4 linked regions of the Daphnia pulex genome follow. The protein of the gene in region 1 binds, or shares a complex with, the protein of each later gene. Links are inferred from orthologs where the notes say so. Each region holds a gene or a part of one and is shown in the gene's direction. Other genes may lie near its edges.

What was found.
Region 2: exosome complex component RRP42-like (region 1) and exosome complex component RRP46-like share a complex: the UniProt entries of both Homo sapiens proteins name them as parts of the RNA exosome core complex. The link is inferred for Daphnia pulex from reciprocal best matches to the Homo sapiens genes EXOSC7 and EXOSC5.
Region 3: exosome complex component RRP42-like (region 1) and exosome complex component RRP40-like share a complex: the UniProt entries of both Homo sapiens proteins name them as parts of the RNA exosome core complex. The link is inferred for Daphnia pulex from reciprocal best matches to the Homo sapiens genes EXOSC7 and EXOSC3.
Region 4: exosome complex component RRP42-like (region 1) and exosome complex component RRP4-like share a complex: the UniProt entries of both Homo sapiens proteins name them as parts of the RNA exosome core complex. The link is inferred for Daphnia pulex from reciprocal best matches to the Homo sapiens genes EXOSC7 and EXOSC2.

What each region holds. Positions count from the first base shown.
Region 1 is NC_060020.1:2,139,490-2,147,409, reverse strand, and holds exosome complex component RRP42-like, read left to right. Parts: upstream 1-3,605; 5' UTR 3,606-3,749; exon of another isoform or gene 3,750-3,812; 5' UTR 3,813-3,858; coding exon 3,859-3,915; intron 3,916-4,037; coding exon 4,038-4,234; intron 4,235-4,304; coding exon 4,305-4,470; intron 4,471-4,537; coding exon 4,538-4,732; intron 4,733-4,793; coding exon 4,794-4,949; intron 4,950-5,006; coding exon 5,007-5,108; 3' UTR 5,109-5,218; downstream 5,219-7,920. Other genes in the region: uncharacterized aarF domain-containing protein kinase 5-like, read right to left, coding at 5,219-5,321, 5,379-5,546, 6,070-6,313, 6,427-6,597, 6,658-6,823, 6,885-7,016, 7,092-7,250, 7,335-7,695 and 1 more. UniProt on the Homo sapiens protein: Non-catalytic component of the RNA exosome complex which has 3'->5' exoribonuclease activity and participates in a multitude of cellular RNA processing and degradation events.
Region 2 is NC_060020.1:3,911,141-3,918,366, forward strand, and holds exosome complex component RRP46-like, read left to right. Parts: upstream 1-2,926; 5' UTR 2,927-3,075; coding exon 3,076-3,163; intron 3,164-3,252; coding exon 3,253-3,366; intron 3,367-3,427; coding exon 3,428-3,549; intron 3,550-3,615; coding exon 3,616-3,756; intron 3,757-3,838; coding exon 3,839-4,030; 3' UTR 4,031-4,064; downstream 4,065-7,226. Other genes in the region: serine/threonine-protein kinase D1-like, read right to left, coding at 1,885-2,016; uncharacterized protein LOC124192298, read right to left, coding at 6,111-6,235, 6,303-6,426, 6,514-6,571, 6,642-7,226. UniProt on the Homo sapiens protein: Non-catalytic component of the RNA exosome complex which has 3'->5' exoribonuclease activity and participates in a multitude of cellular RNA processing and degradation events.
Region 3 is NC_060019.1:5,892,405-5,900,716, reverse strand, and holds the start of exosome complex component RRP40-like, read left to right. Parts: upstream 1-2,578; 5' UTR 2,579-2,664; intron 2,665-2,665; exon of another isoform or gene 2,666-2,727; 5' UTR 2,728-2,808; exon of another isoform or gene 2,809-3,046; intron 3,047-3,120; exon of another isoform or gene 3,121-3,207; intron 3,208-5,282; exon of another isoform or gene 5,283-5,479; intron 5,480-5,548; exon of another isoform or gene 5,549-5,708; coding exon of another isoform or gene 5,709-5,775; intron 5,776-5,911; coding exon of another isoform or gene 5,912-6,048; intron 6,049-6,139; coding exon of another isoform or gene 6,140-6,231; exon of another isoform or gene 6,232-6,363; coding exon of another isoform or gene 6,364-6,364; intron 6,365-6,369; exon of another isoform or gene 6,370-6,399; coding exon of another isoform or gene 6,400-6,809; intron 6,810-6,872; coding exon of another isoform or gene 6,873-7,180; intron 7,181-7,260; coding exon of another isoform or gene 7,261-7,414; intron 7,415-7,475; coding exon of another isoform or gene 7,476-7,518; exon of another isoform or gene 7,519-7,587; intron 7,588-8,312. Other genes in the region: bifunctional peptidase and (3S)-lysyl hydroxylase Jmjd7-like, read right to left, coding at 6,400-6,809, 6,873-7,180, 7,261-7,414, 7,476-7,518. UniProt on the Homo sapiens protein: Non-catalytic component of the RNA exosome complex which has 3'->5' exoribonuclease activity and participates in a multitude of cellular RNA processing and degradation events.
Region 4 is NC_060023.1:8,699,030-8,706,466, reverse strand, and holds exosome complex component RRP4-like, read left to right. Parts: upstream 1-3,225; 5' UTR 3,226-3,339; coding exon 3,340-3,458; intron 3,459-3,518; coding exon 3,519-3,756; intron 3,757-3,816; coding exon 3,817-3,951; intron 3,952-4,009; coding exon 4,010-4,180; intron 4,181-4,245; coding exon 4,246-4,380; intron 4,381-4,442; coding exon 4,443-4,523; 3' UTR 4,524-4,556; downstream 4,557-7,437. Other genes in the region: CDP-diacylglycerol--glycerol-3-phosphate 3-phosphatidyltransferase, mitochondrial-like, read right to left, coding at 1,197-1,399, 1,460-1,688, 1,754-2,659, 2,724-2,987; uncharacterized protein LOC124197887, read right to left, coding at 5,153-5,322, 5,391-5,580, 5,645-5,789, 5,854-5,935, 6,007-6,146, 6,229-6,538, 6,602-7,204. UniProt on the Homo sapiens protein: Non-catalytic component of the RNA exosome complex which has 3'->5' exoribonuclease activity and participates in a multitude of cellular RNA processing and degradation events.

The sequences.
Region 1 (7,920 bases):
GAGAGTAGACCAACTTGCTACGCTACTATAGAAATTATGAATACCTTGCCTTCGTAAGATTTTAGATCAAAGTTATTCTGTTGGACTGCGTAGTTTTCTGTTACCCTATGTATTCTTTTATATAATGAGTATGCATGTGTACACAGTTGTGTTTCTCGAAAATAATTTTCTTTTCTTGAACAGGTATAACAAACACTTCTTTAATGCTGGTGGTTACCTTGTTGCAGCCAAATGGTGAAAGGTGTGACGAAGACAGAGTGAGTCTTTGTATGCAGCATGCGGGTGCAGTGTAATCCAGAAGTTGCTGTGCTGTTGTAGCTGAGCTGTTCCATCTGGGTTCCTGACTTCAAAATTTTTGTGTTGTCGTTATGCCATGAAATTGCTCTGCCAGTATTATTTTGTGTTGCCGAGTTTAAAGTTTGATCTGTTGTCTTTTGAGTTTTCATTCAATCATGCAGTATACGACTGAGGCAACCTGATCAATGTCAGGTTTGAAACAGTTGAGAACTGCTAGATAAAACAAGCTTTCTGCACCAAACAAATAATAACTTGCATATAACTTGCATCATGTTATTATCGCGGTAGAGAAAGCGACAGGCCCCCCCCCCCTGGGGGCCACAGGAAAAATGTATATGATGTATGTAAAATATTATAAAAATAAATTTTGTATGCAATAAAATATTCGTATCAATCTTTTTCGCGATAAAATTTTTAAAATTTCGTGTAAGGGGAATTTTTTTAAATTTTTTTTCAAAAACAAAAGTCTAGACTTAGCAGAAATAATGGAAGGTGGACTTTGAATTTTTCTGAATTTTTCAGTTTGTTGGACTTTGATTTTAATGAGAAAATAATTTATAAAAAGGAGTTTAAATTTTATTGAAATGTAAAAATTAGTTTGAATATTTTATCAGTGTATTTGGCAAGATCAATAAGTTTACATATAGCACTCAGAAATATTTTCACACATCATGCAATTATCGGCAGGAGAAGGTATTTAAGGAGAAAATAGAAACATGTGATTTATCAATTAATCTTGTATTTCAGCAATCTTTCACAAATACAGAGAAATACTTCAGAACTTAGGTGTTTAGGTCGGAGCAGTGGTGATATAGTAATGAAAATTGCAAAATACATATGAACTTAAGTTTGGTAGTTTGGAGCAGGGCAATACTTAAATTCGTCGATGTAGTGAACTAGGCAGCGTACGTAGTTGTGTAATAAGCGGCTTCTTCGGTGTAGTACTTGGGGGCTGCGGTGTAGCGTAGGCCGTGGTGTAGTGAACTGGAGCATCAGTGTAAACGTAGTACGAAAGAGCAGCTTTGGTGTAGCAAGTCGGAACTGCGTAATACTTGTCCGCCTCAGTTGTGGTTGTGTAGATCGGGGCAGAGTAGTACTTTGCCGCTTCGGTGTAGTATTCGACTGTCTTGGTGTAGAAATCAGCGGAAGCCTCGGTGTAGCAGCTGGGAACAGAGTAGTATTTAGGAAAATCGGTGCAATAAGTAGCTGAGAACAGGGCAATACTTTAGAAGCCTCGGTGTAGTAGGATAGGCAGTATATGTAGTCGTGTGGTGTCATCCATCGCCTAGATGGTGTAGTAACTCAGAGCAGAGTAATACTTCAGGGCATCAGTGTAGTGAATCGGGGCAGCGTAAGTTGTGGTATAAAACTCCGGTGCTTTGGTGGTGTAGTACTGGAAGACCTCAGGGCAGGAACCGGTCGTTGCGTAAGTTTAGTAGGAAGGCGGCGACGTTGCGGTTTGATTTCCGCCATACCAAGGAGACATCGCTACACCAGCAATCAACCCAGCCATCAACTATACAACGCCCAACAGGAGCACGACGCCATAGTTGACTAAACAAAATAAATTGAAACATTAATATTAAATAGTAACAGGCATATTAACAAATAGAAAAAAATATTATTGATACAAAACTCAATGTAAAAATAAGAATATTTACCCATGATTGCGAATCGGTTACACGATGAAGAAAGCAATTGGTGGTCCTTTTTTTGAAGACTCCTTTAACGCACAGTAATACTTCGGGACGTAGGTGTAGTAGCTCGGGGAAGCCAGGTTGTAGTGTAGTACTTGAGCGCTTCAGTGTTGTAGTAATGCGGGGCCTCGGTGTACTAGGCAGGGGTAGCACACATAGACGTGTAGAAATCCGGTGCCTTAGTGATGTAGTACTTGGGAGCCTCGGTGTAGTAAACTAGGCAGCATACGTTGTTGTAGGCGGCTTCTTCGGTGTAGTACTTGTGGGCTGCGGTGTAGCGTAGGTCGTGGTGTAGTGAACTGGAGCATCAATGTAGTATTCCTGTTCAACGTAGTACGAAAGAGCAGCTTTGGTGTAGCAAGTCGGGACTGCGTAATACTTGGCCGCCTCAGTTATGGTTGTGTAGATCGGGGCAGAGTAGTACTTTGCCGCTTCGGTGTAGTAATCAGCGGGAGCCTCGGTGTAGCAGCTGGGAACAGAGTAGTATTTAGGAAAATCGGTGCAATAAGTAGATGAGAACAGAGTAATACTTAGGAGCTTCGGTGTATGAGCCTCGGAGGATGGGGCAGCATGCGTAGTCATCTTCCGTCGCCTTGGTGGTGTAGTAACTCGGGGCAGAGAAATACTTCAGGGCGGCAGTGTAGTGGCTCGGGGCAGCGTAAGTTGTGCTATTCAAGTCCGGTGCTTTAGTGGTGTAGTACTTGAAGACCTCGGTGCAGTAACTGGTCGTTGCGTAAGTTGCTTTTGGGTAGTAAGGCGGCGGCGTTGCAGTTTGGTATCCGCCATACCAAGAAGACATCGGTACACCAGTGGTCGACCCAGCCATCGATGATTCAACACACAACAGCAGCACTACGCCATAGTTTGCTAGACAATTAGCAATTTTAACATAAATATTACATAATAACAGGCATACATAAACAAAAGAAGGATTGATACCAAACTCTACGTAAAAGACAGAATATTTACCATGCGAATTGACAGACAGAGCGCTGCAGTTGTTGCCGTGTCGGAGATGCTCCCTCAACTGATTTACCTTCGCCTTTTCTCTCGCCTTTTATACGATTTTTTCTCACCCTCACCTCTTAAGCCTTGCGGTTATTTTACCTGCTTGATAATGATGCTACACGTGTCGTTCTCACCCAGCCTCTACTCCACTGCATGACACGTTTTACGTAAAGATCTCCGTGACCTTCAAGTGTGACTGTCCTTTCCTTTTGCAGGTCGGACGTTGCTGGGGATGGGTCTACAACAACCAATATCAAAATGAATACCAAATGGTTGTGTAAAACGTCTCGTTCTCACCCAACCTCTACACCATTGCATGACAAGTTTTACATAATGATCTCCATGACCTTCGAGCGTCAAGGACATGCAAAAGCTGGCCTTTCCTTCTGGAGGTTGACGTTGCTGGGGGGTGGGTCTACAATCAATAACCAATATGAAAATGAATACCAAATGTTTATGTAACACCAAGGGTTTGGAGAGGTCTCTCCATGCCCATGGTAAATGGTAACACGTATAATGTAAAACGTATGGTAACACGCATAAAATCATGTATAATGTAAAAATAAATGGCGTGCAATCAATGTGCGTACTGTAGTAAAAAAACGCAATTGGCAAATAAATAAACCAATTAAATCTGTCTTTAGAATCTGAACCTGACGGATGTCCGACAACGTTGCCCTAATGTAGCAGACAACTGTCGAGTGCAGACATATACAAACATACTAGCTTGAAAACTAGTAAGGTCTGGTAAGGTTTACAGTTTACTTACATTCCCGTGGTATTTTGATTAAAGTCATCTGCGTTTGTTAGTTGTTACTGTTTTCTGTATCGTTGGTTACCTTTGAGCTCCATATCAATGGCAGAAATACTTTTAAGTGAAGCTGAGAAAGCATTCATTCATCATGGTGTCCAGGTATAATTAAATTCTGTCGGTCTTGCCAGTAAAATTTTTTGGTCTGTAATACTTAAATCAATCAGCTCTTATAAAAATAAATTGTCCTTACTTAACAAAATTCAATTTTTGAAATATCCAAGGATGATTTACGATGTGATGGTAGAACAAGGCTGGATTATCGCCCTATAATTCTTGAAACTGGATTAGTTTCAAATGCCAGTGGATCGGCAAGGCTGAGACTTGCAAACTCTGATATTCTTGTTGGAGTTAAAGTAGAGCTAGCTTCCCCTTTACCTGATAAGCCCAAAGAAGGAAGGCTGGAGTTCTTTGTGGATTGGTCTGTTTAAACAATAAATATAAATAGAATTTAAAAGTTTTTATGTTAATAGTACTTTTTGTTAATTTAGCTCTGCAAATGCAACACCAGAATTTGAAGGGAGAGGTGGAGAAGATCTGGCAAATGAAATTTGTAGATTCCTTCAAAGATCTTATGCTTCAGGTGATACAATTAATTTATCTGAACTTTCTGTCTTGACAGGACAGCAATGTTGGGTCTTGTATGTTGACATATTGGTAATGCTGGTGTGATATTTCTACCAATCAACAATTTCTCATGAAATATTTTATGGCATTAAAATAGATTCTTGAATGTGGAGGGAACCTTTATGATGCAGTTTCATTGGCTGTGAAATCGGCTCTTTATGCAACACAAATTCCTTCTATTAAAGTAGCAACTATGGACGGGGATCAACCTGAACTGGAGCTCTCTGATGATCCTTATGATACCAAGAGACTGAACACAGAGAACATTCCTTGTGTAGTGACTTTGATGAAGGTTTGAAAGTTAAAGTTTTAATTTTGAAATATTTAGTCGAATACTGTGTTTTCACTTTCAGATTGGAAACCATTACCTAGTAGATCCAACACCAGAAGAAGAATGCTGCAGCTCTTCTGGTATTGTTGTGGCGGTCTCAGGCAATAAAAAAGTTACTGCCGTTAGGAAAATTGGCTCCGGAAGTTTGCATCCAGACAGCCTGGTGTCAATGCTCAAGGTTCGAAATTTTTCTATTCTTTACAATCCCGCAGTCTAATGTTTCTTGTTTGAGTAGACGGGAAGTGAAGTAGGCGCGGTGGTCAACACAATTTTGATGAAAAAGCTCCTAGAAGAAGAAACGTTGGAAGTATCCCAAAAAGTTGGCTTCATGCGGTAAATGTCTTTTAACACAAAAGGATATATAATTGAATATTTCAAAGGAATTCTTGCAATTACAAATTTCACGCGACATTTGTGTCCTGCTACTAAATACAATTTCTAATGAAATCATTCAACCATTTGTACGACAATTGTCATATCAGGTGCACGACCAAGCCAAAATAACACACGAAGGCCCCAAAAGGTGAGCCTCATCTGTGTTTTATCCCACCTGTTAAAAAAAATTCACTGAGTTATCACGTAAATGAAAGAGACATCTTAAAATTACCACAATCGCCAGTCAAATAGAAATTGTTGCAAGACTCCTTGTAGACGTTGACCAAATGAAGCACCAGGTACGATGAAAAATCCTCGAGTAGCACTTCTGGCCATCAATGTATAACGATCGACAAGACTGCCATGGTCTTTGGTTATTGCCCTAACTGTATTTATGTTCCTTTATAAAAAAAAGGAAAAAACAAAACAAAACATAAAATAAATCTGTTAATTTTAACTTAGAAAGCTGCCCTTAGTTAAAACCAGTAGGCTGATACAAATTTATCAATTTTGCTGCATCACACAGCTCTCTAAGGATTACAGCTTATTGTTAATTCAATATCCAGTATTACCTAATAGTTAAAAGCATTGTTCTTGGCATGGAACGAAGGTTATTCATGATCATGTCGAAACGCTGCCCCGCCATTTCTTGCATGTATTTCAAATCAGTTTCAGAAAGTTGATTTAAGTTGGATAAAGCGAATTTCTGATTTCCGATGGGTCTTTGAAGAAGCATTTCAGCGAAGAGCAAATAGTCTATACAAAAAAGACCGCGAAAGAGTTTCTTCGTTTTATCTTATTTAAAGTTTCAATTTTAAAACAATTCTTAAATTAACGTATTGATGCAGCAAAATTGAGAATCTGTTGTACGCTTCCTGACCTAGTTCTAGACCAACAGACCAACACTGCAATCAACTAAATACCTAAAAATGAGCATCAATTGAGAAGGCATGGCCCGGAAGCTATCCATCATCCTTTCATGAATTTCATCCATTTGAATTCGAATTGCTTGACGTTGTTCGGTTGTCATCTTCTGCCATTCTCCTACTTTCGGCCCCTTGTGATCGTAAAACGAAGCAAAGACCTGATTCACTGAATCGTGTTCAGTTGGCCATGGTGGCGCTGAAATATAGCGCTGTGACACGGCCATGCAGAACAATCGGTAATCTAGTCATAATACAAACCCATTCCAACTTTCAAAATTGTTACGAGAAAAAATTTGCCTAACGAAGTTTCAAATGACAACGGAAATACTGATAATAGAAAGAGAAACTACTAACCATTCACTCCAAGGGCAGCGGCATGATGCTTCATTCCGACGTGATCGTTTAGCACTATTGAAGACCACAAACGACAAAGAGATTTGCGAACAGTAGACGGAAGCTCTTCATATAATCCGTGATCCAGCAAAACTATCTGTGCGTCGCCTTTTTTCCCTCGACGAACTAAGACTACAAAGAGATAAGTAATTAGAGTCTCACTGAAACAACAAGAACCAATTCTTTGATTACTGTTTCCTGGGTGTGGATCAGCATGGACAAAACCAGTGTGAAAAATTTGTTCTGCAAACATTTCAACCAGTTTGTGGCTAACATCTTTTATTGAAAATCCTGCTTTTTCTAGACTGCCTGTATCACTCACTTTAATCCCATCGATAAACTCTGTCGTTAAGACTCGCTAAACAGTTAAAAAAAATTTATAATATACCCTAACGAAGTGAAATTAGTGCATATATTACCTTGCTAGTCAGATCCCAAACGACATCTGGGACATAAACATAAGGCAACGATGACAACTCTTTGGCACATCTTTCACCATTGTGTCCTTCATTGACAAAATCGAGTTCTTTACAAAGAGTACCCTTCAGATCCTGCATTAAATATACAAACATATCTTTAACCTTAATACATAATAGCATGATTTTTACTAGTTGTTTCGTTCGTACCTTGAGAACCCATTTAAATTCAAATTTTGGATGCATCCAACTGATCAGTTCTAGTAGCAATTCGATTGTAGCAATATCACCATTGAACCGATCCTGCAAGTCAATATACTGAACCTTTACAGCAACTTCTCTTCCATCTTTGCATTTGGCCCTAAACACCTGATCAAAAATTCTGATTATTTACACCTGTCCCTGCAATCTATGCAGTCTATTACTTAATCTATTACAACTTTATATTTATACTTGAGCCAAAGAAGCTGCAGCAATAGGTTCTTCATCAAATGCCTCAAATAATTCTTTATGGTTCTTCCCAAATTCTTCTTCAAACAACTGCCCAATCTCAGTGGCCCCTCTAGCAAGACATTTGTCCTGAAGCACTTTAAGTGTATTAAGATATTCTTTTGGTAAAATGTGATTCATGGAAACCAGGCCTTGTCCAAGTTTGATATACAATCCCCCATTCCCAAGACAGCCAGCCAGAATTCGGTCTGCAGTTCTTTGGTGTGTTTTCTTTAATTCTTCCTGATATTCAGCAGAGTCTTCATCAACATTTTTCAATGACCACCAATAGTCTGTTGATATGGTTACTCCTATCACAAGGGATCTTGAAATAAAATTTTAATTATGCTAGATTTCCATAAATAAAAACTTAGCTTATAGTACCTCAAGAACCTTCCTATTCCTTGAACTGTTACTCTGACTTTGCGTTTTTTTTTGTTGTCAGCTTGAAGATACCAGATCCCAGGAACAGCAAAAGAAGCTCCAAATAAAATACTCCATTTATTCTTAGCTACTTTTACTACTTTAACATTAGTTTTTGATAAAGAAC
Region 2 (7,226 bases), about 1.8 Mb from region 1:
CTGCTGCAGCTGGCGGCCAAGTTGGTTAGCGAGTCGAAAAAGAGACGCACAAAGAAGAAGAAGAAGAAAATAAAAAGGGAAAAACACATTTATAGTGTGCTCGACCGTCCCCCTCCTTTTTTCCCGACCGATTGATTGATCACGCATTGGTGGTGAACGCTAAGTTTGTTGTTTTCTATTTTATCCCGTCAGTCTTAGAAATCCCGAAAACTTGAAGCATACGAAATGAGCGCAAGGCCTCATTTCGCCTGCTGTTGTTTGCTCCGACTGCTCACTGGCCGCGATCCAGGGATTGAATCCACATTAAGCCACACCCCCCTCCCACCGAGAGAGAAAAATACACAGAACCTCAAAATGGGTCAAAATCACGACTCGACGTGGTAAAGGAAACGGAAGTCTCGTGTTTTGGGGTTTGGAAAAGAACATTCGTTCATTTTTTCGATTTGAAAAAAGAAACAAACCACTATTTCTACTTCCACTATTGGAGAAAATAATATACAGTTGGGAAAATACTACAATCAAAAGAGACCACCGAGATTGACTTCCACGTTTTTTTACGATTACAATCCCCACCCCCTTTTCTGGCTCTTGTCTGTTTTTTTTTTTTTATTACAATTCCATTTCCTTCCTCTATATATATATCGGGAGTGAAAGGGGGATGTGCTCGAGTCGATTTGCAGAGTTGTGACGAATTCCGCAACGGAGCAGATGGCAGCACTACAGAAACACGAATAGAATAACAAAAGAGTTAACGGGACTGAGTGTGCGGGAGGAAGTCTGAGGGAGTTGTAGTTTGCAGACGTCGCCGAAGGCAACTAACTCATTAATCAAATCGTCTCGTCACATTCAGCTGAGATGGACGAGAAGGGAAATCTGGGAAAGTTCCCAAAAATAAAAATAAAAAAAACAGTCCTCTCACACTCCATAAAAAAGAGGCAAGAAAATCGAACAATAATAGTTTCGGCTCAGATCCAAACGCCAGGGTTTTATAAAGCGTGAAAGCATGATCCCGACAGTGTTGAGATGCTCAAGAATGGGGAGGGCAAAGCTCGTGCATATCCGTTTTGGAAATGTGCGTGATTCTTCTTTTTAGGCTCCTCCTACTAGACTCCCCAGCGGACGAGTCATTTCCCCCAAGGTCAACATTCTATGCGTGTGAGTGAGTCTTACAGACGAATCACGAGGATGGAAAAATAAAAGAATAAGGGGGCAACGAACATCAGCTACAACATCGTCGGTCCTTGTGACGGGGGTTCTAATTCCCATTGTTGTTGACCCAATCAAGAAAAGAAGCCCAGAAGGTTTTTTTCCTTTTTTCTATTCGTAGAAAGATCCGCCGGAAAAAGGAAATGAATCTGGAGAGGGCAAAAAAGGGCGAATTGCGTGAACAAACTGATGGGACTAGGATTCATTCGCCAAAATCCTGGATAGTAACACAGAAAACGTCAGCAACAGCTAAAAGCTTGAAAAGGAACGAGTTTCATCAAATATTTGACATGTCAATGCACAAGACATTTTTCCTTCCATCTCAATCATCCTAAATCCAATATCGCAACGTGGCTGCTGAAGAAATCGATTGGCCCCCTCTTGAAAAGAGATTATTTCTAATCATCCAACCTTATTGATCATTTAAAGCAGGATTGTGTCAACAGTTCCCAGTGGAAGTGGATGGGAAAATATGGAGAAAAATTCCGAATACAACAGCTTAGCAACTTAAAAGGCAAAAATATACACGGCAAACACACTTAAGCAACGACAGTGATGACGTAATATAATCAAAACAAAAAAGCTCTCTGGTTACTACAATAAAGGCGTTGTCAGGTGTATAGTGATGCATGGACGTGGAGGTAATTGGATCGGCGTGTAATGTTCAAAAACACTTACCCGTTGATTAATAAAGTTGCAGGCCAAATCTTTGAGCGTTTTCAGCGTTAACTGGGAGGCATCCGTGGAGATAAAGTCTCGTACCAGTCCAACTTGGAACATAAAGGTCACCTGACCATTACCATCATCCATGATGGAGCTTGGATCCAAAATTTTATGAAAAACACAATCACAATTATGGCGAAGTTTGACTTTTGGATGGCAGTGAAATTCGCACACACACAAAACTGGCCCTTTTTCGTTGGAATAGTCTGTGTGGTTGGTGTGTGTGTGTGCAATCAGGTGGGAGCAATGGAGTAAAAAAAAAAAAAAAACGGGTTCCAGCAACCAACAGGTTGATTGGAATGTCACATAGCCTCGGGCTGAGATCACCTTTTCTTTCGTCGTTCTCCCGCCCTGGCACCACTTAGATTTTTCCTTTTCTTTCTTCTTCAAAGAAAAAAGGTTGGGTTTTTACCTCCACTTGATTGCACGACAAAACTGAGCAACACGACTGTTTTAAAACCAACACAGATGGGAGCAGCACAACGCGTGATAACACGTTGGTGATGAAAAAAGTCGGTGCGAATAAGAGGGACTGGCTAATGGAAATGCCCAAACTAAATTCAATTAATACGCAGGTTTCCCAATCATGATGGCACACACAAAAAATTCACGTATAAACATCACACACACACACACACACACTAGCACACTTTACGTTCTCTCGAGAAATGCAGAAACAGACTCACGTACGTGTGTGTGTGTGTTTCTGACCGTGCAGCTCAAGTCACGATAACTTGGTAGTCTGCCGAGCTAATAAATACTGTCGCTACTCGGAGATCCGTCTTTGGCTTGCTCACAATTTTCTGGCCAAAAACAGCGTTGCCATTCTCTCGTGACTGAACGAACGAAATCCATGAAAAATACATATTCATAGCTACATTGGAAAATTGTGAATTTTTCAGGTCTTCTTTATTACAAATATAATAGTTGTTTTAAATTCATGGAGTTAAAAGTTATATTTTGTGTGATTAAGTAAATGGTTGCCATGGTAACTTAGAGACATCTGCAGACTGCTGTTGCCGACCCGTCAACCCCATGTATTTTTTACGATCACGTTGCTTATGCAGAAACAGGGCTGCGTTCTTAATCTGAATTATTGAATACTTTTTCAATCACAAAGAATTGCTTGCAATATTATTATTCGCCATGGAGACTGAAGAGAATAGCATTCGTGCTTTAAAGTGCGAACAAAGCGTACTGTCACGTGCAGATGGCTCGGTGATGTTTTCTCAAGGTAAGTTTAGATTTGTAACTTTTTCCACGCTGTTTTCGTGTTATTTTGTCCAAGTCGGTAAATTTTATTTTATTGACTTGTCATTTCAGGGAATACTGTGGTAATGGCTTCAGTTTATGGACCTTTGGAGGCTAAAATTCAAAAGGAACTGTCCGATAGAATGTACATTGAACTAAACTACAAGCCAAAAACAGGAATGCCAGGTTATTAATAACTTATCCTGTGTATTATTATTTCTGTAATATTGAATGCATTTTTATTTAGGTGTTGCTGAGCGTGGAAAGGAGAAACTCATCAAGACCACTTGTAATCACATTATTTTGACGAACCTGCACCCTCGAACAGCTGTCTGCATAACAGTTCAAGAAATGCAAGATGGTGGAACTGTAAGCACTTACCACAACAAATTTATTTTGATCAAGAATTAGTTGTTCACATTTTCCATAAACTAGTTGCTAGCAGCCTCCATCAATGCTGTGTGCCTTGCACTTCTTGACTCGGGTTTACCCCTGCAGTGTCTTGTAGCTGCAGTGACTTGTTTGGTAGACAAGAAGGATAGAATTGTCCTAGACCCATGCATCAGCACAGTCAAAGTATGATTTCCACTAAGAATTAACTAATTTTTTTCCCCCATTTTTTGTTGTTGTGCCTAACTTACTTTTTTCCCCATTACAGGAAGGTTATAAAGCAATGTTTACCTTTGCTTTTGACAGTCAAAAATACAACTTAATTCTGAGCCACTGTGAAGGCCAAGTTCCCTATCAACTTTTTCAAAAAGCCATGGAGCTGTGTCAGAAAGCCAGTCACGTCATCTTTGATTTCTACCGGCAAGCAGTACTACGAAAGTTTTCCAACGAACTTCTGTAAAACTTTCAAAAAATACACATTTTAAAGTTTTGTATATGCGACTGAAAACAAAGTATAATTGTATAAGTATAGGCTTGCTTATTTCCAGTATCGTTAAATTTCTTCGGAAAACCAATCCATCCTAATATGTCATGCGCATCTAGCAATACTCGAGTAATCACGTTCACCAAAACTATATCTAGAAGGTTTCCTGCCCGGAGCTTGGCTCCAATGCAATGCGGTACAATTTTGACACAAGTTATTTAGGTATAGTAAAAGTGCCGATTGTGAAATCAGAAAAAAAATAAACTTAACTTTGAAACAAACTCTTCTTAGAATGACATATGGTAGGTAGTTCTACCATTTTTAGGATTTATTCGGTCGGAAAATGTAGCATAAAGGAATTTCTTTTATGGTTATTCTGAAAATTTATTTCAAGGTGGTCTGGATATATCGAGTGCGATTTCAGCCTTTACGGTAATAGGCCTTGAAATGTTTTTCTCAATTAGAAAGTTTAGCCAATTAGGCTGTCAAGTCAAAGTCAACACAAATAAAGCAATTCTAAATTTAAGTCATGTATCACCTGATTCCAGTTTCGAGTTATTTTCCGATTGTTCCATTTCAGTAGCAATCGTAATCATGATTGTGGCTAAGTAAACGTTATCTTGTGTGTGGTGTCCATTATTAGACAAAAGAATCTAAATTGGTCAGAACACTTTGAAGAGATTAGAAATTATTAGTTGATTGTCAAAATGACTCAAATAATTTAGAAAGTGTCACTGCTTCGTTATTCGTCCTTTAAAACAATTTAAAATTCCTGTATTGTCCTACATTCATTGCGTGGCCCTGTGCTTTGTGTGCACGCAGATGTATATTATAATGTGATGCCCGTGCCACTTTGATCGATCCAGCACGATTCAGAAGGGGGGAAAAAACCCAGCACGAATTTTATTTTGAGTCGATCGCGTCTTAAGGGTTAGGGAGCTTTTATTAACTTTCTCGTTGATAGTTCGATGGTCACTATATACTGCCGGCTCTACAGAAAAACTAGCGGGACATTTCAAGGACGTATTGTCCCTTTTACTTTTTTATCGATTCCTTTGTCAAATTCTGAAATAAATTTTTTTTTCCCCCTCATGCGTCTCAACGAGGTTGGTCAGATCGATTTATTCGTAGTGTATATATACAGGAATAAGGAACTCAAATAAAAACTGGGTCGTCTTATATATATGTCCAAAGAATTTGTTGGAATCAATCAATCGGACTTTCTTGTGTGTACGAAAAAGTGTAATAACAAATTCGTGGCATGGCATATCAATAGAGAAAGGGGCGGAATTTTGATTGCATTTTTGTTGTGAGTCAATGACGAATAGCTGCAAAAAAAGAAAAAAAGAAAACGGGATCATGGAAGAAGAAGAAATTGACGTTGCTAGGTTATATTCTGGATGAATATTTGATTCCGGGGACGGCCGCGCGGATAGTTCAGCAGACGGTACGACTTTATTTGATGCTGGCCAAGGCCAGCGGGTGAAAACGCGAAGAAAGTCTTGAACGAGATGAATGAAGAGGAAAGCTTCGTCGTGAAAGCCATTGATAATGATATGATTTATCTCAGTCAAACATGAGAGAATGCCCACCGGAGATGGCGAGCTGCCCCAAGAGAAATCAACAGACAAATTAAAAGGCCATTGTATAGGTGAATTTCTAGTATATAAATACAATTATGCATTCAGCGAGAGAGCGACGAAACTTTACATATAGTGTACAGCAAGTAGGTTGAAAATACAAAGTGCGTATAATCAAACATAGCTTGTCCGCAGGCTGCTGTTGCTGGAAAACATTCGGTTAACAACATGCGTATAACACTGCTCTGCTGCTGCTGGTTCGGGTTCCAAACCGTATAAACAGACACGTAATCTATATGCGTCAAAAAAGGTGCCAACTCGTTGCTCATTCCAGATGGTACGTAAGAAAATAAAATGGATGCCTTTATTTAAAAACAGACAACAGATAGTTTTCCTTCTTCCACGAATCGCACGATAAAAACGCAGAATATTATTAAGCGAATACCAACTTCATTTTTGAATGTGTATTAAATCTTTCAGTCAATTAAAGTTTCCATTCCAGAAGCCAAGACCATTTCTCGGGCCATCTCTCCAAAGGGATAAGGATACGTTTGAACTATTTTTTCGTCAAAGGAAGGTGTTTGATTGTAATTAGGATCCACTGAAAAGAAAATGAAACGGTTGAGTCTAAAAGAAAAACAAATAACTGAGCGAAATGTAGGACGCACGATAACTGCGATGATTGATCATGAGATGAATGGTATCCAGTGAACGCCAATCGAATTCTTTTTCGGTATAAAGATTTAAAGAAAGAACAAGATCAGCTCCGAATTGCACTTTCACTCGATGAATCTAAATCAACGATGTGTTTCAAATGGATGCGTGATTTATTCAACGTTCACGATTTCACGTTTCATTTTTTTTGCGGTTTCTATTTACCAATTCCGGGTGATGAAACAAAATTTTCGTTGTCGGTCGCTCCCCTGCATTGTAATACCTGTGATCACGCAATCGGAAAATCTTTTGAATAAGCCGTGAATTGATTGAATGAAATAACTATAATATACCACAATTCCGGATGATATTCGTGATAGGAATCGAGCCACAAGGGCAGAAAACGAGATTGTCGATTAGCGACGATCACCTGAGTCCCGAGAAACTGTCCTTCGTCCCAATTGATGGCCAATTCAAATTTGCGATACTTATCGAGATTTTTGATGACGTAGACGTCGTTATCTAAATAAATTCCGCCGTATTTCATTAGAGTTTTAATGCGTGCAATGTCGCCACCGTGATAAACTCTCAAATCGGGTTCAATCTGTTGGCCAAAGATCTCGGACGGCGGCTGCAGTGGCAGGATGCGGATGCGCGATCTTAGCTCGAGATCGTTTTCAATTAATTCCCAGTACTTGCCTCTGAATGTTCGCTCTGCTGCGTCTGTGTGAATGTAGAAATGCTCGGGTCGGTGGTTGCGAAAAGCCGCCTGAATGCAAATGTAATCGATAAAAGAGAATTCCGGTTTGCTGAACCGGATCAAGTGGATGATGTTCGGAACGATGAAGTGCTCGGCACCAGTTTCGTTGTTAAAATTCACAAATGACGACTCATTTTTGCTGAAACGTTGCTTTTCAAGTGTGAAATGGAATAATGAT
Region 3 (8,312 bases), on another chromosome or scaffold:
AGGTGTAGCGATGTAGGTGATTTGCACCAGTTTTTGAGTGCAATTCGTGCGTTCTTCACTAGTGTGTTGCATTCTGCGTTCCACCAGGGCCGCGATGGTTCTGAGTTTCTTGCCCGTGATGGGTTTGATTTTTTGAAGCATTTTTCGTTTGCTCCGTTCAATCCTGTCATGAAAGCTGTAGTGGCTGCTTCTGGGTTCTGGATCTCCGAGAACTTGAGTTCTATGAGTGCGGTGTCTAGGAGGTGGTTCCAGTCTGCCCACTTGTTTTCGTTGATGATCCATTTGGGCGGTTGTCTTGAGATTCGAGCTGGGGTCGTGTTGAGCGTGAGGATTATGGGGAGGTGGTCGCTACCTAGGCTTGGACCTATTGAAATCGTTGCTGAGGTGGCGAGTTCAGATGATGTCATAGTTAGATCGATAGTGGATATTTTCCCGCTTGCCGGATCGATCCTTGTACCTAGATCAGTAGGTGTTATGAGGCATATGTCTTGGCTGTTGAGGATGGTTTCGAAGATGGTCTTCCCTGCTGTGTTGGTGGTTGCGTTGCTTTCCCACATGTCGTGGTGGCCGTTGAAGTCCCCTCCAATAACCACCGGGTTGGGTCTGTTGAAAATTTCCGCTACGTCAGCCATTTCACAGTCGCCTTTGGGAACATAGGCAGAAATGAAATCGATTTTTGAGTTGCTTCTTGATAGGATGCTGACGCCGATGGCTTCTACGGTGTCATGTGGGGTAAGGGGCAAGGGGGTGAACGAAAGTTGTTTATTAATTAGAATTGCTACTCCTCCCCCTGATCTGTTAGGGCGGTTCTTCTTGAGGATATGGTAGGCTTTGAATTTAACGTAGAAAGATTTCTTCCAGTGCGTTTCGCTGAGGAGGATTATTTCAGGTTTAACTAAGGATAGGAATTGCCGGAATTCTTCTAGTTTGGCTTTGGTGAGCCCTCTGGCATTCCACTGGAGGCATTTGAAATTATTTGTTGGGTTTGGGGTAGTGCGTGAGTGGTGTACTGTGTGTCTACTTATCATTTTCTGTGTCCATGTCGTCTGGCCATTGGCTGGTTGTGCTGAACATGGGGCTCTGTTCATTTGTGTGGTGTAGCAGTTTAGGGTTCATAGTAGTCCTCAGTGGGTCCGCTGTTACGTGTGGGGGTGAGTGGGACCTGTCTGTAACTCTCCCCATTAGTAGTTCTTCCAGCCTGTCAAATCTGTTTTGCTGTATTTGCATGTTGATCTGTTGCTGCTTATCAATGCTGCTGAACCGTTGGTCGAATTTACTAATTTTCTTGTTTGTGTCTTCTAGGTCGACCGCCAGCGATTGGATGTTTACTTGGATTTGTGGAATGGTGGCTGCAGTCATGGTATACATCTCTTGTTGGATGGCCTTTATTTGGTCCTGTAGGGTTGTCAGGTCATTCCTTGGGGTTGGCGGCGGTGCGGGGCGGTTGGTTGGGGTGGGGGTTCGATTGGTTACTGAGCTGTACAGATTTGCGTGGCGGGATCGAGCTTCTTGTATGGTGATTTCCTCCAGGTAGGCCATTTTAATAATGCTCTTCATTTGTTGGTATGCAGGGCATTGATCGCTGTCTGCTTCATGATCTCCGTTGTTGCAGTTAATACACCTTCTTGAGCATTCTTGGTGTGTCTCGTGTTGTTGTTTGCCACATCTTTTGCAGTTAGGGCCATTAGCGTTGCACCTGTTGGCGGTGTGGCCGAGTCTCCAACAGTTCCTGCATCTGTATGGGTTTGGTACCGATACCTTTACTGGGTAGCTGATTGACGCTATCTTGATCCTGTCTGGGACCTCTTTCAAGAAGGTAAGTGATACTGTTGTCGAGGGGGAGCCTGGTGAGTTGCGGATCGGGAGCCGTTTGACATGTGTCACGTGCTGGTCTGCTAGAGCTTCCAGAATCTCCTCCTCCGCGTCACTTATCGGGATACCAAAAATTACTCCTACCTTCCTCGCTGTTGACCGGGTGGGCAGAGTGCTAGATGTTGGTCTGCCTGCCAGGGTCTTGATGTTGAGTAGTACTTGTTGTTGTTGCAAGTCAGTAGGGCTGACGGATAGGTCGCCGCCTGGGAGTACCGTGGAGTCCCGGGGGTCCCCAATGGCTGTGCAAATGGCTTTTCGCATGGCCTCACGTTCTGCTAAGGACATTGATTTGAAGTTTGGACGGTCATCCATGAGTTTGATTATCACAGGGAGGGGGTGGTCTGTTGAGTTGCACGGTCTTTTCGAACGCGGTGGGGCATCACGGTCGGCCATTTTGTTGGTGGCACCTGGCGCGGAAATTGCTTTGACACGGGGGCCTGTGGGGGGGGGGGGGGGGGTCGCGCGTGTTTGTCTGTCGGAATAAAGCGGGGGGCGTATATACGGTGAGTACGTGAGTCTGCTGGCACTTTGAGAGAGAGAAGAGAATGCACGTCAGGTCTCTACGAAGGTGCAAGGCGAACTCCCTTCCTCGAGTTCTTTAATTAAAAAACAATCAAAACATGATCTACGTGTTATCTGGTGTAATCATCGCGTTTGGTTGCCATCGTTACGACTGTCATCTTCAAGTGCTTAACCGCCGCTTTAGCAGACGACAGCTGTAAACAAAAGCAAGGCCAAGATCAAAGACACTTTTTTTTTCCTTTTTTTTGAGCAGCCTTTCCTCTTTTTAGGGTAGAAGAATATATAATTATGTATTGATATACTAAATCTCAAATTGCATTCAAAACCTTATAGATTGGAACAAAGATTGGAAGCCTGGTCCATATCGCAAGACAGGTGCTTAAAGAAGTGACACTGCAGATGGACTCGGATATGGTGTGACTTAATTTTGATGTGTATTTTAAACAGGCAAGAAAAAGTGATCCCAATTTCATTGTAGATGATAAAACAAGCTGTAAAAAATGATAATGAGCCTCCTGCAATCTTTGAGGTGAGAGAAAATTTTGATGACATAAAAAGGGAGAGTGAGGAAGCAGCAGAAGATAACCCTGAAGGGAGCTCCAACGGAGATGAGAATGGAGATGATGATTTTAACTTGGAAGCATTCAATAAGGTTATAATTTTGATAAAATGTCACAATTATTAATGCTAAACGGTTTAGCATTAATAATTATATTTTCTTTACAGGAATATCCTGAGCTTAGTGACACAACACACCAAAGAAAATATGGATGTAAAGATGCTTGAAAGTCTTTTCATCACAAGAATGTTTTGGTATGACATATGAATATGTACTATGGGACCAAGCTAGCACCTGTGAATTGTGATACATGTGTGAAAACATTTTTAGGCAGTGATTATTTGCGACTTCACGTCATCCTGGCAACATCAGGGAGTGAAGCCCTTTAAATGTGACGTTTTTACGACCGATCCAACTTACGTCAACATACGAGATCACTGATGAAAAACTGGCCCGTCCGTAATGTCCGCACAAATACTTAAACTGTCTGAAAACATTTGACCATTCACACGAAAGAAAAAACATTCAGTGTGATACCAGTGGTGTGTAACCTCACAATATTTTTCTTCATATCTTTCTCAAGATTTTTAACTGTGCTATAATCAATTCGCAATAGTAGCGACGCAAGGAACAAGACGATTTTAATGTCTTATTATCATTTACGTGTTGAAATGTCAAATCTTGTTACTAATTTTCCTTTGTTCTAGGAGCTGGAAAAGATTTTCGCTAGCTGCTCTGGGTCATCGTCAAAAGTTGCCAATCCGGAGAGAGAGGATCGATTATTGAGAGACGATATGAGCTGCATGAAATGCGACCGAAAATTCCCTTTGATTGGAGCGGCTATCCAGCTGCGATGTTCTACAGTTTATTCTCCTCTTTTGAAAGGTAACGCAGTTCTCTTGTGTTAGATCAAACAGTTTTATTTGATGCCTTGTTAATAGGTCGTAAACAGCAGCAGCAGCAAAGCCCAGTTGTAGTTCCTAATAATGACGTGTCTGGGTCTGAATCAACTCCATCCTCGAGTAATCTTCCGGGCAGTGACGTCATCGTAGCATCCAATGAACCGTCTTCACCCACCATCAGCGGTAAGGAGGCTTCCGACACTTCGGAAGAAGGAAGTCGAGGTGGTTGTGGATAAAATCATGCGACTCGCTTCTATTAACAGTGAGCAGCCAGAAAAGTGGCTCAGTTTGGAAACAAGTTACCCGCTTAATCAACTAGTTAACATGTTAATCGTCATCGGTAACCGAGGTGTTGTTCTGAAGTTCGGAACGAGTTGGTCTCACCTCATTTTGCTTCGTGATCAAAGACGAACCAAGAACGCGTGACTCACTTTCTCACTGGTAAATCATTTTTATTGTGTTGTTCTTTTATTTAGCTAATATTCTGCGGTTTAGATATTCTTGAGAAATCCGGATTTACTGTTCCGCCGTTAAGGACGGTACTCATGGCGGATCAATGGCTGGCTTTGATTGGACTCCGTCAGAGGAGATCAGGACACTGTTTTGACGGGATCTGCGGATGAAGGTGAAACGGACGGTGTAGTGTAGGATCTACGAGGACGAGTACCCGATTCATGCCGGATAGCAATTCTCGCGTCTTCCTCTTTTGTGTAAACTGACGGGTCGAATGGGGCAATAGTAAGCAACAGAAAAATCACCAGCAAACGGCCAGTTATAGCAACACAGCCTTGATGGTCACAAGTTATCGTATGGTTTTAGTATGTGGTGATCCTCGTTGGCTGACGAGCCATCAAGTTCAGTTTTGAACGTGGGGTGGGAGGGGGAGAGGGTCGCTTCTCAGCCTTCAGCAACTTGTCAATCTCGTCTCTTTGGTAAAATGACGGCCAATATCTTGTCTATTTCACCTGCATTACATTTGGTTGTTTTCTTTATTCAGGAAAACTTCGAAGTAATCGTAAGCAAACCGGAACAGATCCGGTATTATTTTCTCGAATGGACAGTTTCTTTGGCTACTAGAGAGGCGGTTGATCAACTGGTGATTAAATTTTGATTCCCTCCTTTGTTTTGTCCCGTCTTATTATTAATCCTTTATTTATCCTACTAATGTTTTGAACATATTAGATTGAAGCTGTACGATATCGTTGGGAAGCCGTCTTCTCCGTTGAGCTGGAAATCAACGAGCTCGACGACTAACATCATGTAATATCCCCTCTCGATTAGACTTATCGTTTTTCTTTATTGTTACCTTGCTGTACATGAATTCTGTGTGAAGTGCAATTATTGTTTCAAAAGTGAGCCTTTTCAACTTGGAAGTCTAATTAATTACACAATGTGCATTCAGATTTCAGATAATAAGCAATTTATAATAAAATTATTATTCATGTATTTTTTTTATTACTGCTTTAAACACAAATTCACTAAGCATGTTTCCAGAAGGGTGACTTTGTTTTGGTATTCAAATATTTGTAAAGCTTTTTTATTCTAGAGTTCAGCGTGCCCCACTTTGTTGGATGAGTGAGGGGTAATCTTCTCGTTGCACAAATTTCATCTTGGGCAACAGGACCTAGAATTAAGTTTGAAACAACATAGTCAGATTTACTCTTTTCTTTAAAATCTTTGAGTTTTGTAGTACCTGATGCTCATTTCCTTTTACTCTTCTTAACCAGGGAGGAACATTATTGAACAATTGAGTTGGGTGTAAGGTCTTTCGAGTGATCTTATTAGATGGACCAAGGATATCAATGTAGTCATTCTGGCCAAAAAGTGCTCGTTTGAGGAAGGCGGAGGCGGAGGCTTCTACGCCGACGTGTCCAGTGGCTGCAGACGATTCTATACCTGTGGAGTTGGGAAAAAGAACAGGTAATGTAACCGACACCCAGCAGAGTGTCTAGTCGTTTGACAAGTCTAAGATTAATATCTTATTTCCAAATATCTGAGAGCTTAGAATTTTAAAACAAACGAAAAAAAAAAAAAAAAACACGATTGCATTATACAGAGTGGTGTCGCATACTTTTACGTGTGGAACCGGGCTACTGTTTGACCAAGCCACGCTAACATGTCAGGACATTGACAAAGTGGATTGCGCCTTGTCGCCGACTTTCTTCTATCTAAACGATCCTGCTCTCCGTCCAGGTATACACACATTTTTACTTTCAACGTTTTTGTCTATTTTTTTAGATATGCTGGTTTAGAGTTCTAATGCTGAACATTTTTTCCAAAATAGCCGTTACAGAACCGATGGTCACGGACACTTTTCAGTCGTTCAAAACCACCACCACCACAACACCTTCTCCTGAAGAAACAACAACATCCTAGGATTTGGAATTTTTATATATAAATAATTAATAAGAAAGCATTACGTTCGTTTCACCATCGCCGGATTGATTAGTCTTGTGCCATTGATTTCCAGATATCAAGAATACATTCCTATCATAGAATTTAATCGTCTCTGCGTTCAACAGGCAATGACATTTTATTGGCAAATCACGCATCACAGTTGACCAGGTCTTTAACAAATTCGAAATAATTGTACTTGATGTCGTATTGCATATCGTACCAGTAGTTGACTGCTATGCAGCCGTGAGACTGGCGGACGTGGTGGAACCAAAGCGAGGGCAGGTAGAGCATTTCACCTTTCTCAACGCGACATCGAATCTGCCGAGCATTTTTGTACTTGGGATATTTTGTCAAGTCGGGCTTCAAAGGATCGATATCTATCCAAGGAATGGTTCCGTCATCATCCGGAACAATCTTCAAATCTCCGTCGATTTCTTGGTAACTAGCTTTGGGATAATTTGCATAAGGTATCCATGGCTGGTCTGTGGGAGGGTGGAGAATGAAGTCTTTGTATCCAGAAACGACACAGTACATGTTTTCATAGGGATCCTTGTGCACTGTGAATAGGAAAAATGATCTGTATTAGTTTATGATATTTTGACTGATGGAAGTAATGGTACTCGATGTGATTGCCCGCTCATCTCCCATCCAGAAATTGACTGCATCTGGCTTGGTGCCAAACAATGTTGAGGCCCACTCAATCTCGTCTGCAGAGTCAGCTATCAATTCTGCAAACTCTTTGGTGAGATTGGAGTTCTGTGTTTGAATATAGTGCACCCTGTTTACGACAGGGTTTTCCAGTGATTTCAAAAACTGGTTCATGGGCATCACGTTTTCCAGGGGAAGAACAAAGTGTCCATTTGTGACTGCATCAGCATAACCATTTGGGGTGATGGTTACTGTGACATCTTTTGTCCCATAAGACTGCCTTTAACATAACAAAAAAATGTCAAATTATGATAAGACTTAAGAGTTGATAAATAACAATAGTATGAATGGGGAAAAAACCTTAAGTATTCAATGTTCCATTTCGATAACGCCGGCCAGCTGTTGAAAGCATTACGGATAATCACTGGCCGATTTTGAGCCACATAATTTCTATAGAATTCCAAGCAAGTGGGCAATTCTTCCAGATAAGGCACATTCGTTGTAAGATAAAATTCTAAATTATTTCAATCATCATGAGAAACGATTTGATGAGAGAAGTGAGTGACAAGGCAAACCAAAAGCTTCACTGGAGAGTTTTTCAAACTTGCTTGTTGACATTCTCGTGAAGGTGAAGACTCACTCCAACATTTTGACGGTACTCACAGCAGACAACTCAGACGCCCGGGAAACGCGAAAATTGCCAAATTGTTTGAACGATTAGCCGCGCTTAAAATATGAATAAAAATAAAAAATTCGCAATGCATTTAATTAGCATGGATTTTTCGCTCCATTTGTAGAGTTTCTTGAATTATAATAGCCATCAGTATATTCATAATCATAACATAATTGAGGAAATATTAGCCTACTATAATCGCGTAAAAGAGGATGGAGAAAACGATTGAGGAATCTGCCAATTCAATGATGAAAATCTTGATAGATTTTATTGCCAATAATTGCCGCGTGTATTGCTATAGTTAAATTTTGATTTCACGAACACCATACGATCTTCGCCGAGTTCACACGGGCGAACGTCCCTATCAGCGCCTATTAGCACGATGTACTGGGAGTAGCTCTTAGTACATCGTGGTTGGAGCGAATTGACAATCTGGAGATCAATTCCGATCAATTTTTTAGCTCTGCCCCTGCTGTATAGTTAGAAAAGGTCGAGTCGAGAAGAAGAGAAATCCAGAAGAGAAGTCAGAAAAGGGGGGCTCTTTTGACCTCGATTATTGTCGACTGTCGATGAGCTCCAGCAAGAAGATTAAGGGCATGCAGCAGTCCTTCACATTGTCGCTACAGGGAATGAAACCCAAGACGATCAGGAAACCCAAGTGTCGTATGTTACGGAATGTAATAATGCTGTCCGATGACGATATCATTATTGAAATTTGATTTCGCCAATCTATGCTTGC
Region 4 (7,437 bases), on another chromosome or scaffold:
AATGTATTTTTTATTTTTCGAAACATATCTCCTGTCTTCGCTACTTCGCTCAGGGTATCGCCTCGCAGTAGCGCAGTTGGGAGCGCGGCAGAATACAATGCTGTCACGTGTCAGGTTGCGTGTTCGAGCCGTATATCCTCCAGTTCTATTAAAAGCACTACAGTTGTTCGAATTGAATATCCGTAGCCGTCCGAACTGGGACATTAAATAACTGTAACAGGGTGAAGTTTGCTCGTATACAACTAGATCTGGCTTCAATCTGTTACCGCACAGTTAACTTTTAATTAATTAAATTTCAGCAGTTCTCTAATCGAAATCTTTACCGTTGCAATAAACACGTCAGGATTTCTACTCTACTCCATTACACGGGAGAGATGAGAAAACCCAGATATGCATGTTTCATTTCTGTTTATGGGCTAAGATTGAAAACAAATACATGTCGGGTAAGCAACTCTTAATCACAATGTAATATGAGCTAGATATAAACTATTCAACGAATATTTGGGTACATGATCCTACTCCATAACATTGGAGTTGGAGTTGCAAGCGGAACTCTCACTCTTTTTTAATTAAGCTGTTAGTAGTAAGAGTTAAAGTAAATATTGGAGTATTGGACTGCCATAATTTTATCGTTGGACCCCAAGTCTTCGGACTATCGATTACCAGCTACTATTGCTCGTGCTATCTTTTACTTTCGCTGACATAACGGTAAAATAGATGTTAACATTAAAAACTCTTGTTGTCCGTCAATAAATGCTGAGATGACTGTTTCTTTTCAAAAGAGATACATTTCGTTCATGGTTCTTTCAGCTTTTGACCTTCAAAGTCGTACGGAACTGTCGGTCGGCACCAATTCACGAAAAACGCTATAGGGTTAGAAATAACGCTGGGTTATGCCTTTCATTATTTAAAATCATTTAGTTTAATGTAAATACGATAGTAAATACGATGAATGCAACCGTCAAATTGTTTTTTTTTTTCTTTTACTTTCACTAAAAGATACGAGCAATAAAATTCTTGAATTTAGGTTCGTCAAAGTAGTAAACATGCAACTCACGATTATGTAAAGAGAATTGCATTTCTATTTCTCACTCCATCGTTATTCACGGAGGTCAAAAACAAACAAATGGATCGGATCACCGGGAGTGCAACAACAACAACGTCTTAAGATTACTTTGCTGTTGTTTGTTTGTTTACTAGAAGAATCTCCGAAAAACTTTGATGACGAAGCGAACCCACAAGGGTATCTTTCTATCCGGGTGATCAAAAGTCGTACCGTTGACCAGGTCGCCTTGCTGAAAGAGATTTCTCCGTTCTCGATGAAGCTGATCCCGTAGGGTAGGATTGATGGTCACTACTGCCAATTGCGCTTCCAAGTCTCGATAAACAGAACGATATCCTACGGGCCAAAAAAGTGTCAGTCGTTTGAATTTTTGACAAAAATACGAAAACATGTTACCAAAGTTAGGAGATCCTACTAGAGTGAAAGAGGGTCGAGGATCTCCTCGATTAAAAGAGATCCACAAGCCCTTTGCATGGAAAGTCCAATTCTGTCGTTGATATTCCCACAATCGAATGCGAGCTTCCAGCGCTCGATCAACCACTCGTCGATAAAATTGGTAAGCCAGTAGAGTATAACCTGATGGGATTCCACCTGCGAATCCTTTCGCCCCGAAAAAACCATTGGCCTATTGGGAATAAATCAATCAAATTAAATGGGAGAACGTTTGTTTGAATGGTGATAGGGGCTTACCAGAGGATGTGCCATGAGAATGTGAACATTTGGCTGGGACGCTTCTAGCAAACTATCCATATAGTCCTGAGTCAGGTTGAAGTACCCGGTTGCTAGACATAATTCGGCGTTTGCCGGTACGTTTTCTAGAATCTCGCGCGTCAAGATGTTATCCATGTAAATGTTTAGCTGCCCCATCTGGACGAAAGGGAAGATCCAGGTGTCGTAAGCAGACGGATTCGGCCATTGAAATATCGAGGACGAAACATTTGCTTTTATTTGCTTTTCAAACAAGTTGTTGATTCTCCGTTTTGCTTCTTCTGTAAATTCAAGCCGATTGGATTCAAACGGATGGTGAGGAAAAGCGGAATTCAAGTTAAGGCAGTTGTTTTCACTTAAATGAAATGAAAACTGGCACACAGTTTCTACTAGTTGGTCAAAGAAATCCACTAAATCTTTGCAATCTTCCATAATTATGTATCGATCTTGCCGATTTGTGAAGTAATCGTGGCTTAAATTTGCGCCACTGATTAATAAGGAATCGTCAAATATGTAAATCTTCATATGTTGCAAGCCAATAATTTCATTCCATCTTTCTGGGAGAATTTTCTTTAATAATCCTCTAAGTGCTGGAGTGTGATAAAAATGGACTGAACACTGCTGGCTGTAGGACTGAACTAAGGGAAGCAGCATTGTACGGGAATTGAATTGGGCACCTCTAGAGCCTCTTGTTGCATCCAACAGAATTCGAACTTTCAGGCTGGAGCCAGAGTTTTTCTTCAAAGTACTTTCAATTGTTTTTACAAGCTCATTTTCATGATTTCCTGTTCCAAGATATAAGGATGCAAAAGTGACTCTTTGACTTGCTTGACTAGTCTTTTCAATAAGTGTTTTGTAGAAATCTTCAGGATCAGACAAAACTCGAACCTAAGAAAAAATTTTACAACTATTACTAGAAGACACTAATAAAATACCTTATTAGAACACTAACCTTATTTCCGTTCACAGGGAAACAAGGGGTTTTACTTCCGAGCCATCTGAAATTTTCAAGGGTCGTTAACAGTTCCGTTCTCTGCTGTTCATCACTGTCGGGTTCCATTTCGGGACGATGCTGGAGATGAAGTGATCTCGAGACAAGGTTACGTTGCCAACCTCTGCGAGCAGTCTTGGGAAGGAAGTGCCAAGATACTCGTTGTCGCCCAGCAACGCATATCGTTGTTGAAAAAAGTATTGCTTTTTGGCAAATTAGTGACATTTACTTGTACGGACGAATGAAATGAATCGGCATATAAACAAACAGACATCTGATGGCAAAAATTAATACTAATGTGATTCGCGCAATGTTTTATTTGATTCGTTAAAAAAATTTCAGTTGACTTTATATTTTCCATTTCGAACATAAGTTAATTAGTCGATTTAAATTGCACAATATCATTTTGACAAGAATATCCACAAATATTTATATTCTTAAATATTTTGATATCGCCATAGCTTAGGCAACGTAGCAGCATGGTATAGCAGAACACGATGAATTATTGTCATTTTCAAGTGTGCTGTTGTTTCCTTTTTTTTGAACTTGATACATTAGGATAATTAAAACCAAAAGAATGGTAGACATTCGCCTTGCTTCTGAAGTGCCTCCTTTTCATATCGTCGCTGATTCTACTGAACCCAAACATCTTGTCACACCTGGCTCTTTGATCACAAAGGAAACAGGATTCATGAGGTAGATTGTTAAAAGTTTTGCCATTTTCTTGATGATAATCTTATTTTATGTTTTGCTAAGGGGTCATGGAACATACATGCAAGATGACTGTTTGTACTCCAGTGTTGCTGGAGTTGTGGAGAGAGTCAACCAACTTATTTCAGTTAGACCCTTGAAATCTCGTTATCATGGGGAGATTGGAGATGTCGTAATTGGTAGGGTTACTGAGGTTTCACAGAAACGTTGGAAACTGGACACCAATGCAAGATTAGATTCAGTGCTTCTTCTTCAGTCAGTCAATTTGCCTGGTGGTGAACTCGTAAGAAAGACTTTTTATTTGTGCAATTACACAAATATTTATATCTCATAATGCTTTTAGAGAAGAAGATCAGCAGAAGATGAATTAGCCATGAGGCAATACCTGAAAGAAGGAGATTTGGTCAGTGCAGAGGTTCAAAACATCTTCAATGATGGAGCTCTTTCTTTACACACCCGCAGCATGAAATATGGAAAAGTATAACAATAAGTTATTTAAAATATTAACTGTAATAACAACCATTTATCTGTTATAGCTTTCCCAAGGTTGCCTAATAAAAGTTAGTCCATCTTTGATCCGAAGACAGAAGACTCATTTCCACAACTTGCCTTGCGGAGCAAGTATCATTATGGGTAACAATGGATTTGTTTGGATCTGCCCTACGCTCCTTGACGATGGCGCCGGTGGATTTGTTCAAAACTTGGAGGTGCGTACTAAAAAGTCGATGTTTGTACATTATCACGTGGAAGCTAATTCTGTTGAAACCTATAGACAGTTCCGCATGCCGATCGACAAGCTATAAGCCGGTTAAGGAATTGTGTGACAGCTTTGGCGCACTGCAAGATGATGATCTATGATACCAGCATTATGCATGCCTACGAAGCCTCCGTAAATGCTGGGCTTGAGGTAATTATTTTTACATTGAAACTAAATAATTCAATGCTAACTTATATAATGCTTTTATGTAGATCAAGGATCTTCTCCTACCGGACAAGATAAAAGAAATCGCTTTAATGGTTCGTAAGCAGTTCGAAATGGAAAAAGAATAATTTAATTTTCGAATAAACATGGCTCAGGCTGAACCAGAAGTTGACATTCGATTTCCCAAACATTAATGGTGTGGATCAGTTTATTCATACTGCAGACAAAGTTTTATTCTGGGGCAGGGAAAAACATAAACGAAGAAACATTCGATAATAAAGGCGGTTTTTTTTTGTTTCCAACTACAACCGGTTTCCCAAGAATATTAAAATTTTGTAGACTTCATTTATAAGTCATCCCCCCCACAAATCATATTTACATTAAAACAAGTGTGCTAGAGAAAACCAGGATAAGATCTGCCGTAAGCACCACTCAACAAAATGCCCTGGGCTAGTTTTGAAACACCTAAAAAGATTATATAGGATAATAAATTACTAATGGACCCCGTTCCCTAGGTCCACCAAGGAAGGAAAAAAAAAAGATTTAACCGGAAGTCATGTTAAAGCGCTGCTTTAACAAATCAAGCAAATAATAATTAACAAAAAAAAAAAATAATGATAAATAGAAACAATGAATATCTAGCGAAATTCCGTGACGACGAATGGATAACGATTATGTTTAGGAGGGCTTCACGATTGGAAAATGTCCCGTGTTTTTAGATATTAGGATTCCACCTTGATTAGATGGGTTTGTAATCTTAGACGCTCTTGTCGGGTCCCAACCAGCGGCGCATGAGGAAGTAGAACACGGTGCAGATGTACAGTAATAAGAGAAGAGCGCATGTGACGGCCAACGCCAGGACGGACGTCTTTGTTGGGCAAGTGCTGTTGAATACGGTCACCGTCTCTTCATGGACTGTGTAAGTACCTACATTTTTTAAATCAATTAGAATTTCATTCCTATCGTGACCGATTCAAATTTCCCGCCTATCTTACTGTTGTTGGGGAAATTGGCCGGCAAGGTGGCAGTCTGTCGGTGGCTGAATTTCGTATCTTCATCTCCAAAGTCAAGAACGAGGATTTCGTGAGACATGGTCATGTCCTCTTCGGTTTTTTCAACTTTCTCGGCGCTACGGCGCTTACGTCCCCAGGATTCCATCGTGTCTCTTCCCCATTGGCAATTAGCCTGCAATCCATCAATGGTTCGTTATTACATTATTTGAATTGAAATAGGGCGTATACGATCGTACCGGTTCGCAAGGTCCTAGACAGTATCGCACGTTGCACTGAAAGATGACACCGTAGCTCTCGGTGAAGCGGAAAGCTTCGTAGGTGCTCTGCAGAGCAGTTCCGTCCGGAACGAAGCGAGGGAAGATGGATGGATCAGTTGGACAACTATTAAGTAAATGAATAATTATTAGATTTTGTTAAGCAATTTAATTCAAGATTTAATTCTTACCCGTCGTCGTCGATGATCTGGAAGGTACTTCTGGAGTCTTTGGCCATGGCAAGGCAGCTGCGAGCGAAAATGCCGTATGGTGCTGAGTTTTTAAAAAAGAACAATGATGTTATTTTCATGTTGCAATATTAAAATGATAATTCCGTTTCATACTGTTGCCGGGAATTTCAATGCGGAAAATGAGTCGATCTCCGATACGAACAGTCTCGACATCGCCACCGGTGGGATCCAAAATGCGGATGCGTGGAGGTGGGGCAGCCGGTGCGGAAGTGATGCTGATCATGTCCGGATCTCTGTTTTCCCAAAAATTAATTAAAAAGAGATTAGATAAGGATCGGATGGAGAGGGAATGAAGTGGTTATGATGTTGTTATACCTGATGGGCATCATGCCGAAGGAAACGTTGCGCGGCGACATGTCGTAGGTGCATTTAATCTTGTAAATCTTGTCTCCTTTAGTCATGACGACGCTGTGGTGCTGGAGGACGATGGTGTTGGTGAACATGCCCGACATGGATTGGGTGTTACAGTCACCGCCGTTCATGGTCAAGTCCAACCGGAAGCTGTCGCTATTCTGGACGTCGATGTTGCAAGTTTCACTGCGGCCAAGAGCGTAAACGCGCCCGCTGAAGGGCCGGTTGGTTTTAACGAGAACCTCGATCTTGGTATCACGACAATGAACTCCGACTAAAGATAAGATTAAAATTCGAATATTGTTAAGTATTATTATTTTTTTTATTAATTGATTACCATCGTAACAGGTTCCAGTACGGTCGCAGTTGATGTCACTTTCGGTAGGACCGGTTTGATCGCCTCCGCTGATTCCGCCTGATCCATCGCCAATGAGCCCAGTGTTGCTGCCGCCGCTCCCACTGCCAGTTGATGCAGTTGATCCAGTTCCCAATTCGGTTCCAACGTTAAGACTTGGGCGAGTAGGGCGAGTTGGGCGAGGTGTGCTGACGCCGCTTCCAATTGATCCGCCACCAGTTCCGGGACTTCCACTTCCGCCGCTTCCAGATCCACTGCCGCCAGAGCCGGATCCGCTTCCACCAATTCCAGATCCAGATCCGCTTCCGCCAATTCCAGATCCAGACCCACTTCCGCCGATTCCGGATCCACCGCCAACATTTCCAGATCCACTTCCTCCAATTCCAGATCCGCCACCAACATTTCCAGATCCACTTCCGCCAATTCCGCTTCCTTGACTTCCACTTCCGCCAATTCCGCCAATTCCTCCAATTCCTCCTGATCCACTTCCGCCGCTTCCCCCGATACCACTGCCGCCAGTTCCACCGTTTAATCCGCCGCTGACGGGATCCTGTCCGCCGGTGAGCTCACCAAGTCCTTCAGGACCTGTAACAGGAAAGCGACAATCAACCGTTAGTTATTCATAACATCAATCACAGACCTTTTCATATCTTCATCATGCATAATCATTCACATGCACATCGTGAAGTCGAGTTCTTTCTTCTGATGGCTCCCCCCTAAAACTTCTTCTTTGTCCAGGACTGGAAAGCTGAAAAAATGACCTGAAGCAATGTACAACGTTCTCTCTCTCTCTCTCGTACACATTTCCCACAGTTTTT